Astyanax mexicanus: one gene and its partner. The protein of the gene in region 1 binds, or shares a complex with, the protein of each later gene. Links are inferred from orthologs where the notes say so. Each region holds a gene or a part of one and is shown in the gene's direction. Other genes may lie near its edges.

The links. The genes of interacting proteins can lie anywhere in the genome.
Region 2: drc1 (region 1) and iqcg share a complex: the UniProt entries of both Homo sapiens proteins name them as parts of the nexin-dynein regulatory complex. The link is inferred for Astyanax mexicanus from reciprocal best matches to the Homo sapiens genes DRC1 and DRC9.

The regions. Positions count from the first base shown.
Region 1 is NC_064408.1:51,791,833-51,799,061, reverse strand, and holds the start of drc1 (dynein regulatory complex protein 1), read left to right. Parts: upstream 1-4,216; 5' UTR 4,217-4,366; coding exon 4,367-4,479; intron 4,480-4,590; coding exon 4,591-4,678; intron 4,679-5,215; coding exon 5,216-5,328; intron 5,329-5,422; coding exon 5,423-5,606; intron 5,607-6,277; coding exon 6,278-6,415; intron 6,416-6,761; coding exon 6,762-6,848; intron 6,849-6,968; coding exon 6,969-7,091; intron 7,092-7,229. UniProt on the Homo sapiens protein: Component of the nexin-dynein regulatory complex (N-DRC) a key regulator of ciliary/flagellar motility which maintains the alignment and integrity of the distal axoneme and regulates microtubule sliding in motile axonemes.
Region 2 is NC_064416.1:10,718,168-10,725,279, reverse strand, and holds the start of iqcg (dynein regulatory complex protein 9), read left to right. Parts: upstream 1-4,098; 5' UTR 4,099-4,194; coding exon 4,195-4,323; intron 4,324-5,291; coding exon 5,292-5,494; intron 5,495-6,528; coding exon 6,529-6,666; intron 6,667-7,112. UniProt on the Homo sapiens protein: Component of the nexin-dynein regulatory complex (N-DRC), a key regulator of ciliary/flagellar motility which maintains the alignment and integrity of the distal axoneme and regulates microtubule sliding in motile axonemes.

The DNA.
Region 1 (7,229 bases):
TGCAAAACCATACTGCACTTCCTAATATGCAATTTTTAATTAGCAATACACAGAAGACACTCTCCAGTGGTTTTTATTTTCCAAATTACACACGCAAACACACACACATGGCTGAAGTCCATTCCATCTTTTGAAATTGTTGTTGTTTTTTTGTACAGTAGTCACAGTCTGACATGAGCAGGGTAATGCTTTACATCTAGCAAATGTTTCTGAAGTAAAATTCAGCATAAATCAGTGCACTGTCATGATCTGGACTGATCTACTACAGCAGGGGTATTTAATTAGGATTCAGTTTGGTCCAGTTACGCCAGGCTGAGGTCCGGACCGTCGCCATTTTTAACTTGTGTTATGATTTAGTATTGTATACTGTATACTGAAGAAGCCTAGTACTTCTGTCAGTGTTTTATGTCATCAACAACTGAAAGACAAAACAAATTACACATACTAGTATATTTCAACAATATGTATTGTTTTAAATAGACCTGTCACAATAATTACATTATCACCCTATCATAAAATTAATGGAAACACCCTAAATTTATCGAGAATGTGAATCTGTATGTTAACTTTGTTTAAAAATGCTATATTTATTCAATTTGATTGTATTTATATTAGATTTAGGCCTGCCTGTCATTATAATTACGTGAATGGCAAATCATACAATATATGAAGAAATGTTTGCTGAACTTGGCCAAAATATCAGCTTAAAAAAAAACAGTAGTTTTATTTTATTTAATATTATTACTGTATCAGACTTAATTATGTTGTGGGTAAAACTGATGGGGGAAGTTGCCAATGCTTTTTGTACCCTGGGCGTTGCCGTAGTTTTGAGGTAGGGTTGTTTTGGGAGTAGAGAGAGCGCGCCTGCGAGCGAGGGAGTTTTTTTCTTTCTGAGGAGTTCTGATCAGGTGGAGTAAAGTGGAATATTTTGGACTCTTGTCTCGGTTGTTTCTCTTTAATTCCTCCAAGTAACACCGCTCTATTACATTACTGCTAATATGTTTTATAAAGGTAGTATCTTAATGTATTTTTCTGGTGCGCACCATCTGTATTCTCATCTTTTCTCGCTTTATTCTCCCACTTCTCACCGCCTGCTTCGCCTGTGTGGCTCCGCGCGCTCATATCTGCACAGATCTGATTGGTACGGTGGCCGAGAAAGCCCAACGCAGTGCAAATGGAAAAGCGCTGCAAAAGCACAAAACACATCCATCAAAATTACAACACAGGCGCAGCAACTAGAAAAACGCGCAGCAACTAGAAAAACGCGCTGCAACTAGAAAAACGCGCTGCAACTAGAAAAACGCGCTGCAACTAGAAAAACGCGCTGCAAATAGAAAAACGCGCTGCAAATAGAACCACAACACAACGGAAGTGAGTCACAACACAAGGGAATATTCCCGGGGGACCTGTACCAGGTACTGTACCAGCTAAGCTGCGTCTTCAGTAATGTCTCGGACTTCACTATGTGTACAAAGGACAATAAGTGGCAAACAAGGCGTTTTGTGAAGCAGAACTTTTAATAAACATAACTTACTTTTCAGAAGCTTGTTTGCCACTTATTGTCCTTTGTATACAGCTGGTACAGCATCTTTTAAGGTCCCCCGGGAAAATTCCGTTGTGTTGTGACTCACTTCCGTTGTGTTGTGGTTCTATTTGCAGCGCGTTTTTCTTTTTGCAGCGCGTTTTTCTATTTGCAGCGCGTTTTTCTATTTGCTGCGCCTGTGTTGTAATTTTGATGGATGTGTTTTGTGCTTTTGCAGCGCTTTTCAATTTGCACTGCGCTGGGCTTTCTCGGCCACCGTAGCATAGGATTGGCAAAGGAGAGCGTTTTTTACAGCACACGTGATTGGTCAGTAAATTTACTGCGCTGTAAAGCACGTAAACCATAAAGACCATAGGCGTAGGAACGGGGGACATGTCCCACCCAATATCAGAAACAGGTGGATTTGTCCTCCCCCAAACATTATACCGCAGAACAATGGCGTCGCCAGGAGCGAATCGTTTCTCTCAGCTCAGCTGTGTTTTTAATGAGTAGACAGAATGCTGTGTAAATGGAAAATCTCTTAGCGCTAATCACGGAGCCGCCGGTTCAGAAAGAAAGTCACTCCTCTTAAGAGAAACAGCCAATCAGCTCGCTGGTTTTGCGAAGCGCGGAGGATTGCTGTGGAGGATTTGTAATGTTTTCTTTTTAAGGGGTGCAGCGGGGCTGACGATAAAACATATCTGGATATACAGCTATTTTTCTAAAAGAAAAGTAACGGATCTAACCATGTAAACTGTGTTGAGATTATTTCTGATAGATGGTTAAAAATAAACGAATCAAAACCCACAGATCATACCCTCTGTGAGCTTGTGATAGTCATTGTGATTTGTAGATTAGGATTGCAGGATTACTGTAAATTTTAATGAAGAACAATTATTTTAGCTAGCTTAACTACTTAGCTAAAAACTGGATTTAGTGGACAGCCAGACTTCAGTACAATACTTTATGTTGGTAGTTTGAAGCAGTTTCTTATCCCTGATCACTGGACTAAAATTGTGTGTTTTCACCAGATCCAGCTCATTAGCTACTAAACTAAAATCTATTATATTATTTTAAACATTAGGTGATACCTCATCAGTTTTTTTTCTCATATATGTATTTAATTCAGACATTGCACGCATATTGTTTTCTAACAACTGTAAATGTAAAGTGGAGTAACATGTTTAGTTTGTAAAGTGACCTTTACTTGGATGTAACTAATAATAAACAGAAGTACAGAAAATAATGGTTTATTTGTTATTAAAGGTAATTCCACAAACGTTGTTCTAAAAGACTATAATAAGACAATAAACGTTCCACCGCTTTAAATAAACGCTGTCAGAATTAAATCCTTCTCAGTAGTTTATCGGTTTGGGTCCGCATTGTACAACGTCTGGGTCCAGACCCGGACCGCAGTCCGCATATATGTGGCCTAGATCATATACGGTTTTGTTTTATAAAACCACTCCTTGCTGCCCTGCAGAGAAACAGGTTCAATGTTCAGTTTTACCGTGTTAAATATTGCAGGTCAAGAAAGACTTCATTTATTTAATATTTTTTTATAAAGCAAGTATTTATGTTAAGTTAAATCAAGAAAGTTAAATCAAGAAAGACCATATTTTATTAAATATATATATATATATATATATATATATATATATATATATATATATATATATATATATTAAGTTAATTCAAGATAAATGGTCTTTTTATTTTTATAAAAAAAAACTTATTTTTTCAGGAAATAGTTCAACTTTAAATGTCTAGAGATACATTGTTGCTGTTAAAAATGCATTTCTATTAAAGGGAGTATTGGCAAAACTGGTTATAATTTTTATGTTAAGGCGGCAGGAGGTGGTGTCTGCAGCTGCTGAAAGTAACTAATAAAGTAACTTCTAAAGTAACTTAGTTACTTTTAAAATCAAGTAATCCATGAAGTAACTAAGTTACTTTTTAAAGGAGTAATCAGTAATCGGGTTACTTTTTCAAAGTAACTATACCATCACTGATTATATGATACGTAGGAACCAAAGAAAAGTATTTACAGAACATAAAAAATAAACGTGAAAGAAATAAAAGAAATAAATACTCAAACAATAACAAACTGTTGTTTATTCAAATATCCATCAGCAGGACTAAAGGCTCTGTTCCTGCAAGGTTAGATATCTATCTATAACACTGCTGAGTTAAATTTACAAACTCTTAACACTTGGTAGTTTTGTTCACCCGTCAAAGCACACTCGATGTAATGTGTGGCATACAGAAATTGAACACTGTCACTTTTAGAGAGTGCATATACGGACATTACACTCGACATTTAGCATGAAACCACCCAATCTGGCAACACTGCGAGCCGGTGTGCGCTGTTAATTTGAGGTGTCTCTCCATGTAGTTAATTAATGAGGATTAATGTTTGTAAACAGTGTAAATATAGCAGAGATTACTCCATGATCAGCTCAGAGCTTCACTTAACTTAATTCAGTTCAGTGAGTTTATGGAGTTTTAAACATGGCTCAACCCCCACCTGTGTGTGTTAATGCTACCGGTGCTGGCGCCTGATAATGAAACTGAGTGTCCGAATTCACTCCTGTGTACCCCTATGTAGTGCGACACTTTTAAGGGAGTAGGGAGCCAGTTTGGTCACAGCCCACAGCCCCCCCTTCACTGAGTTCTCTCTCGCGGGCTCCCTCTAGCGGGCCTCAGTAATGTTTTGATAGAGGGGGGCTCTGACTGTTTCATAGCAACGCGGGTAACAACAGTGAATTCAGCCCAACTCTGTGAAACTCACCTGTCCTCTCCCTCATTTCCTCTTTTCTTCTGCTCCGCTGAGTTACAGGGGAGATGTCACGGGCGGGCCCGGGCGAGCTGAGCCCCGCTGTGGAGTCCGACAGTCCGGAGGAGCGGATAGCGGCGCGCCGCCTCCGGATAGCCGCGCGGACCGAGGCCAGGACCCGGTGAGTCCAGCCTGACCTTCACTGACTCTTCTTAAACTGAATAACCTTAACATAACTAACTGTCTTCTCCAGAGATCTCCTCTCTGATCCTCTCTGAACTGTGTCTGACAGACTGGAGCTCGGGGAAGAGGCTCAGGAGCAGGAGGAGAACACAGAGGAGCCCCGGACCAGCCAGAAACAAGTGGATCAGAGTGAGAAGGTAATTAGATCAGAACAACCTGATGACTAAGAGGTTTATTAACCCTCAGGAGGGTTTTTTTCTGATTATCTGATTATATCTGTTATTACATCAGTTAACCTAGCTGATTCGTGCAGATATCTCCCACACAAAGTTATCTCTCCGTTTTTTTAAGAACACTACGATGTAGCATCATCAAAAAACCACAAGGTGTCCTTCATGTTGCAGAAAACATTATACAGTACACAGCCATATTCAGCCTTATGCAAAAAGCACCTATTTAAATTAAATCTTTTTGGCCTTTTGTAAACGCCAAATGGCAGTATGAAACGTAAAATATTTAATTAAAGTGTTTGAATGGTTAAACTGGTTGGAAGAGACCCGTAAAAGGTGTTTTTTTCTCTTCTTCTTTTTTGTTGCTGAATGTTCAGTTGCAGAGTTCTGACTTAACTTTACAGCACTTGTTTTTTTTTTACTTATCTGGCTTGTCTAGATGTGAATCTCTTATCAAGTGTACAGAACCTTTGTGCTTATTTACATATCTGTAAATCTCTGCAGCGTATGCTTAAACTGCAAACTGATGGCACAGAGTTAGTGACCAACATCTTGGTGGCAGCAGATGCCAGAGAGACAAAGAGGAGAGCACAGCTAGCGGAAGCACGTAGATTAAGGTAAACACTCAAACACACATCCAGAGATGATTCCACATACTCATATAAATGCGTGTCTCATGATAACACATCTTATGTTAATAATACTGCACAGAAATGAAAAGTTGGAGAACGAGGCAAAATCCAGCCTTGAGAAGTTCGAGGAGGTCACTCAAAATTGGCCTGTGGCCAAAGCAAAGGAAATTCCTCAGGATCTGAGAGATGCTCTGAAAAGCCAGCAGCAGCTCTGCATGCTGATCACTGAAGACAAGAATAAACTCATCAATGAACTGCAGCACGTAAGAAAACAAATGCACACACACATAGATATAACCATGTTTTTGAGAACATTTTTTGGATTATACAGTACAATGGGAGTAATACAGAAATGACAGAAATTAGACTAATATTAAGAGAAGGAAAAAAATCTTAGCTACATTGGAATTAGTAAAATAATGCTCTTGTAAAAGACTTTTGTTTGTTTTCTTTTTAAGTTTGTCCTGAAGTTAAGTTTTAAAATGTGCAAATACGTATATATAATGCATTTGGCATATACCATTAAGTGCCTAAGAAAATTCTTACAATCATTATTCTGCACAACAATGTGTTTATGCATTTTTAAAACACAGTGTTACATTAACAATTGTGAGCTTATTAAAAGGACACTGGTTTGCTTCCAGATTTCTTCTCAATGCTATGATTTAAAATTCACCAGCAGCAGCAGTTCACCTGATATAACTTAATAGAGCAGTGATTAATCAAAGTAGGTACTTTACAAGAACTACAAAGAGTGTTATAGTTCACAAAATTCATAAATCCTCAACCTAAAATATTGTGTCTCAAAATGTGACTAGATGTGACAAGAGCATGTTTTAATGTTATGTTTTGTTTCTAAATGTTGTGTTTTTATACCATGGCGTATAACATCACAGATTCAAAAGATATCATAAATACATTTGTGTTTGTGAAGGAACTAAAATCAAGTGATGACCGTTATGTGAAAGAGCTGAAAAAGCAGGCAGAAGACGTGGATCTCATGAGAGAGAAAATGCAAGAGCAGATGACGTCTCTGATGAAGTTGTATAGACAAGAGCTGGATCTGATCGAGGTGTGGTAATACTTTCTGCTGTTGGGAGTTCAGCAACAAGCATATTCATAAGTCAGCATAGTTCATACATCTAGTAGCTTGGTATCCAACAGTAACACAGGAATCTACAGGAATCACTTGATATATTAATTCTTTCAATATTTTCTATATTAAAACACACAACACAGTATAGATTTAAAGGTTATGGAAAATACAACACTATGCTATTTTTGTGGTCAGAATGCAGAAAATGTTCTTTTGATACTTATATTTGTGAAGATAATGCCCTACATTATATCATTACACCAAATATGTAGTTATCCAGGACTCTTGGACTCACTTATCTTTTTGCCTGGTGATGTTACAGAATTCATTTGATGATGAACGAAAGACTCTGCTCACAAGCAACTTGAAAAAGTGGGAGCAGCAGAGGAAAGAGCGGAGCGACAGAGAGGTAAAAGGCAAAAAGACTTCAACAGCCATTATTTTACTACACAATGCATACATCAGAGATTCAATAATGCTATTGGTGCTAATATACGTGTCTACCCTCTGATTCTATGTATGAGAGAAGCTGGAGCACCTACTGCAGAGGATTAAACAGAAGGAGGAGAATGAGGTTCTGCTGCATCGACTAAGAGTTGCAAATATAAAGGAGTACAACATGATGAAACTCAATCTAGAGACTCAAAGCGAGGTATACTATATTACGCTTCAACTGTTATAGAGAAGGAAGTTTGATTCATTAAACCCTATGTTTATTATAAAATTTTGTCCTAATGCACAAACTATTTGGAAATGTTAAGTAAAAGTTTGAATTTGCATATTTTATGAT
Region 2 (7,112 bases), on another chromosome or scaffold:
AAATACTGTCATTATTTTAGGGCCCTCCCCTACTGATGATGTTCATACTAAGATATTCCTATAAAAGCATTCAGTCCAACACCCACCCCCAACTGACACTGAGAGTGATACTGATACTGAATTACATCAGTGTTGCCAAACTGCTCGTGTTTAATCCTGTTCTATTTTACTCATTTTTTTTACAACAAGCCCTTGTACTTAGGGTTACTGCGCCAAAATATAAGTGTTAAATTATAATAATTGTTAAAGTAAAGTATAATGAATCCATATTGCATTACGGTATCATGATTTGGTACCATGTTACAGTATCGTGATTTAATATTGCATTACAGTAAAGTATGATTATTCGATAATACATTACAATATCGTGAGCTGGTATCATGTTACAGTATCCTGAGCTGGTATTGTGTTAAATTAAAGTATGATGATTTGATATTGCATTACAGTATCATGATCTGGTAAATGTTACAGTAAAGTATGATGATTTGACATTGAGGTACAGTATTGTGATCTGGTATCATCGAATCATCACATTTCACTGTAACGTGATATTGGAACACGATACTCTAACATTATATCAGATCATGGTACTGTAACATGGTACCAGCTCATGATACTGTAATGCAATATCGAATCATCATACTTTACTGTAAAGCTATATTGGATCATGATACTGTAACATGATACCAGATCACGAAACTGTAACATGATGTTGCATAATAACACTAATGCAATATCTTGTTACAGTATCGTGATCTGGTATCATATTACAGTACCATGATCCAATATCGCGTTGCACTAAAGTATGATGATTTGATAGCATTGCACTAAAGTCTGATGATTTTATATTGCGTTAAAGTGATGTATGATGATTTGATAGTGTTGCCCTTAAGTATGATGATTTGACAGTGTTACACTAAAGTCTGATGATTTGATATTGCATTACAGTATCGTGATCTGGTATCATGTTACAGTAAAGTAAGATTATTTGATATTGTGTTACTGTATTGTGATCCGAATTGGTGTTGCAGTATTGTGATCAGACATTGCATTGTAGTACAGTTTTTGTGATCTGAAATAATGTTACTGTAACATGATATTGCATCATAATAGCTTGTTACCGTAAAGTATGATTACAGTATTGTGATGACTACAGTACAGGAACGTGATCTGAAATTGCGATTCAATATTGTGAACAGATACTGTGTTACAGTATTGTGATCCCATATCGTATTACAGTAATGTATGATTACAGTATCGTGAACAGATATCGTGTTACAGTATCGCGATATAGAGCACTGCGTCCGTATCGCTGAGCCCCAGCCTGTAACTACTCCCTCCCCGGGTAGAGTTAGCAGCTAAGTTAGATTAGCCAACTAGCTAACTATCCCTGTACAGAGTCCCACTCAGGATAATCAGACTGATCTGATCTGCTGTAGATCAGACTGCAGCTGTTAATCAGATCAGATCAGATCAGATGATTAAATAATCAGACTGTAAATTAGTTAACCCGCAGCTCCAGCTGTAACTCTGTAACCCCACTAACTGTGTTCCGCTGACCCGCTCCGGCAGCGGCTCTCTCTCCCCGGGCTGCGGGGCGGCCGGCGGTCCGGCTGCGGGAGAAGCCTCACCTTCACGGAGGGGAAGAGCTGGACAGATCCGACGCTTCTCCGAACATTTTAAACTCTTAAACCCGCCTCACTCCGTGCTCTCGGGTCTGCGCTGCTGCTGCTGCTGCTGCCATCTTGTCCTGGAGATCCGGAGCGGAGACGTCGCGGTGTCCTCCTCCTCCTCTTCCCGCATCCTAAACTCCGCTACAGCGCTCTAACCCTGCCAGCAGCTCCTCAGCCGCTCCCCCGCACTGCCCGACGCGCTCTCACTGATACCGGGTACGGCCGCGCGGGCGCTGGAGCCCATCTCTCAGACGGGAGCCTCTGTGCTCTGTCCTCCCCGTTGCGCTGCTTCGCTCTCGGCTGAGGGAGGGGGAGCGCCGCGCTTATCATACAGCCAGACTCAAACAAACCAACCGAGAGACATCGAGCGAGGCCCCGCCGGGCCGTGTCCCAACAGCAGCGCGAGATGCCTAACTAGGGTGCCTAGCTAGGATGTACAGGGTCCTGCCGCCACGTGGCTGTTTAGAGAACAACAAACAGACAGACAGACAGGCATATAACTAAAATAAACAGACAGAGAGACCTACAGATATATAGACAGACAAATATACAAATAGATAGTCAGATATACAGACACATTAACAGAAAGACAGGCAGATAACCAACAGATAAACAAACATAGATAGATTGACGGACAGACAGATTATTAGACAGATAGACAGACAGATAGACAGACAGACAGACAGACTGACTGACAGATATATAGGCAGACAAATATACAGACACATTGATTAACATACAGACAGACAGACAGACAGACAGACAGACAGACAGACAGACAGATAGATAGATAGATAGATAGATAGACATTATAATCTAACATAAGAAGGCAGTGCAATAATGAATATACAGTGTGGAACAGCAGCAGGTATCAGCAGTTAATGAGAATTCTGAATAAACACATACACATATATGTATTTAGTAGTGTGGCTAGTGTCCAGAAGTGCAGATGTACAAATGTAAAGTGTATCTTTGTATTGTTATAGCTTTATATATAGTCTCTGTGTGTCAGGTGTGTGCAGGTGCATCTGGTAGATCACTGATTAGTAGAGTTTAATGGATCGATGATCAGCTCTGTGCTCGTTTAGTTCGGTCTGTTCTTCTGTGCTTCCATCCTCATACCCTGCTGCCCTCTGCTGCTACAGCAGATACATGCAGCAGTTCTGACTTAATCACACTCAGGTACTGTCAGTATACCATACTACTGAGAGTTAACAGCACAGTGCAAAAAAAAGACATATTACTACTGTACTACTATGAAATACGTAAATGTAAAATACAGAATAACAATAATGACTTTTATCTAGATGTGACCTCTCAGGTCATTTGAGAGGTGCACGATGCCACTCTTCAGAGAAGATGAGAAAATAGGAGAAAAACTTGCAATTAACTCCTTACCTCTTCTCATAATTAGATTCACATGTGTATGTAGGTTAAAGGTCAATAAGCTTACCAAACGTGTTTAAATAATTAGTGCTAAATGTATTCAAATAAAATGACAAGAGTGTTGAACGAAAAGAAAATGGTGTTGAAAGAATGAACAACTCACGATTTTCAGATTTGATACATGCAGATCCTTAAATCCAAATCTATTTAATTCAAAACTCAGAAATACAAATACATTCAGTAGATATATTTGTAGAAGGTATGTATCAGAATTAGGAATCTGAATTTTTACATTTAAAAATGTATGGAACTACTTTTTTAAGTTACTTTTAAATGTATTTTTAAGCAGCACATTTGGCCACCTCATAAATTCAGAATATAACCATTTTACTCTATTCACCCACATTTACTAGTGGTGAATAAATAGTGTCTGACTACCTATTGTTTAATTTTAGTCAGTGGAATAGAGTATTTTGTTAGGAAAAGAAGGAAAAGGGAAAGAAACCATACCTGTATGCATCTCCAGCTTTAGCTCACCAACCAATCAGCTCACAGTAGCCGTGATGCTTGCGTCTCTACAGCATAAACATACAGGTAAGTTTATTTTGCTTGTATCTAAATATTTGATTCTAGTTTCTAATATTAAATGAATATCTCGGACAAGTAGCCCCTATTTGGCCACCTCTTACGTTCAGAATATAAAAATTCTGATTAAAATTTATGAATTATGTCACTAAATAAGTGTATTAAAATATAAAAATGCAAGTTGAAATACATGTCATCCCGGGCTCCCTCTAGCAGTTTACAGTAATTTAATGTAATTCAATTTTTACAGTGATTTCTTTGTGTTGAAATTAATCACAATTTTTATATTTATAAATAACAAAATAATTTATTATACTTAAAATTAAATGAATATCCCGGGAAAGTAAGTAAGTAAATAATTTGTAAGTTAGTTAGTGAACTCCCATTCATTTTGGTCTCCTCCAGCGGTGAGCGCACTAAGTGCGCAGGCTCACCACGTTGCGCGTGCCGATACGTTAGTTGCGTACAGTGTGTCGCGTTACCAGGGGTAACGTGCGTAAAGCGCGCAGATTGCAGAGTTCGGTGTTGTCAGTGGCTGAACGGGAGAATTATGTCGTGCCGGGTTTCGGGAGTGGACCGGCTCCGGGTCTGCGCGGTTCTGGAGCGCTGTGCGGACCAGCTGGACATTCTGGGACACATCATGCCGAAGAACCGGAGGAGCCGCCCGGGGGCTGAGGAGGTCTGTAACCGGCTGTTGGAGGAGCAGAGTGGGGCTTAACACAGCTCTGTTCTAGTATAAATATAACTAAACATAACCTATAACCATAATCTATAACTTTAAAACATAATTACTATAACATATAACTATAGCCTATATAACTATAACCTATAAACCTATAACTGTAACCAATAACTGTAACCTATAACTATAACATATAACTATACCCTATAACTGTAAACTATAACCTATAACTATAACCTATAACTGTAACCTTTTACTATAAACTATAACCATGACCTATAACCTTTAACCATAACCAATAACTTTAACCTATAACTATAAACTATAACCTTTAACTATAAACTATAAGCACGACCTATAACTTTTAACCATAACCAATAACTTTAACCTATAACTATAAACTATAACCATGACCTATACCTATGACCTATAACTTTATTCTATAACTTTAACCTTAAACTATAACTATAACATATAAACATACCCTATAACTGTAAGCTATAACCTATAACTGTAACCTATAACTGTAACATTTAACTATAACCTTTAACCATAACCAATAACTTTAACCTATAACTATAACCTATAACCATGACCAATAAACTATAACCTATAACTTTATCCTAAAACTTTATCCTATAACTTTAACCTTAAACTATAACTATAACCTATAACTATAACCTATAACCATGACCTATAAACTATAATCTATAACTATAAACTGTAACCATGACCAATAAACTATAGACTATAACCTATAGACTATAACCTATAACTTTATCCTTAACCTATAACTATAACCTATAACAAATAACTGTACCCTATAACTGTCAACTATAACCTATAACTATAACCTATAACTGTAACCTGTAATTTATAACTATAACCTTTAACTATAAATAAATATAACCTATAACAATAACTGTAGAACATTCTAACTCATCCTGTGCTGTACTGTTGAGCAGGCAGAGGCTGCACATATCAGCGTGATCATTAAACAGCACCAGGCCGCTGAGAGTCACCTGAAGACTGTGCGTAAGAGTCGGGTAAATGATTCTGAACTCTCTGAGGCAGTGGAAGAGCTTCATCTGTCCCAAAACCAGCTCAGACGCACGCTGGAGGAAAGCTCATCCTCCCACAACAATCTGGCCAAAGTGGAGAGAGACAGGTACAGACACTTACATCTGATTCTTCTTCCTCCATAATAATGTAGACATTGTTTATTTGGGTGGTGAATTGGGGTTTGACACATAGTATTGTGCGTAATAATATCACTAAAATGTAAAAAAATAAATAAAAATGTGATAGTTTTAGATGTGATCAGGATACTCCTTTTTTTTTTTTTTTTGCAATTTGTAAAAAATGGAAAATTCACATTGTTCTTATTTTCCATTAAATATGTACTACATACAGATTATATCTGGCCAGTATCTTTTATTTTACTTTAGTCCTAGATATTTAGAGTGCTAATGATTATTTGTATCATGACATGTTGCATCATTGACTTCCATAATGTGCCATATCATATTGTATGCAATAAAAATATGGTGGTTGTGTGTTAATAGTGTGTGTTTCTCTGGTATAAGTGGATTAGACACAGCAGTGCTGCTGGAGTTTTTAAACATTTTAGCATCACTGGTAGAGAGAGAACATTCTATCAACCAAGAACATCCAAAAAAGTGTCTTGTGGGTATCATCCTGGCAGCGTCCTGTGGGCAGCGTCCTGTGGGCAGCATCCTGTAGGCAACATCCTGTGGGCAGCGTATCAGTGTCCTGTGAAGTAAAGGACCAGTGAATGATGAACACAAACTGTGCATTTTATATCTACAAACTGTGTCAGTTAGGGAGGAGTGTCTAATAGAGTGAAGTACAGTGAATACATTGTTTAAGAACTCCAGCAGCACTGCTAAAGTGTCTGATCCACTCGTACCAGCAACACAACAAATACTACTAACACACCAGCAACATGCCAGTGTCACTGCAGTGCTGAGAATAATAACCCACCACCAAAATAATACTGTTCTCACCACTAAATAGCAACAAAAACTAATAAAGTATGCAGAAAAACAGATACAGGACTACAGTCTATACTTATTATAGAACTACAAAGTATTCCTGTTTGCTCAGTGTAGCTGATAAGATGTGTAGAAACATGGAGATGTATATAATAATGAACCTAATAATGACCCACTCTGTTTGCAGGCAGTTTGTAGCCAAGGTGATCTCAGACCTGCTGGCTGAAATTCAAGAGAGTGGCACTTTTCACAGCCTGGTTCAGGCAACGGAGGAAGAGAGGAAGAAGAGCGATGGTGAAGATCACCTGCATGACACTGTCATAAGGTCTGAACATGAACGCTGAACTATCAATACTGTGGTGGACAGTATTTAATATTTGAAGCACGGCGACTCGAAACTGATACATCAGCTCACAGATGCCTTGTGCTGATCGACATCACCCTAGGAGTGATGAGGGGGAAAGAGCGCCATCTACCCACCCAGAGAGAGCAAGGCCAATTGTGCAAAAGTGCTTTCTCAGGGCTCTAGTAGTTGATGGCAAGCTGCATGAACAGGATTCAAACCGGCAATCTCCTCCTGATCATAGTGGCAGCGCTTAGCCCGCTGGACCACTCAGAGCCCCCTCAGTGGTGGACAGTAACAAAGCAAATGTAATTCGGTTAACTTTGTACTTAACCCCAGACCTGAATTATGTTCCAGTTATGGAAAAATATATGAATGCTGTTTGCTGTCTGTAATGCACACAAAATAAGACGCTACTATCCTCATAT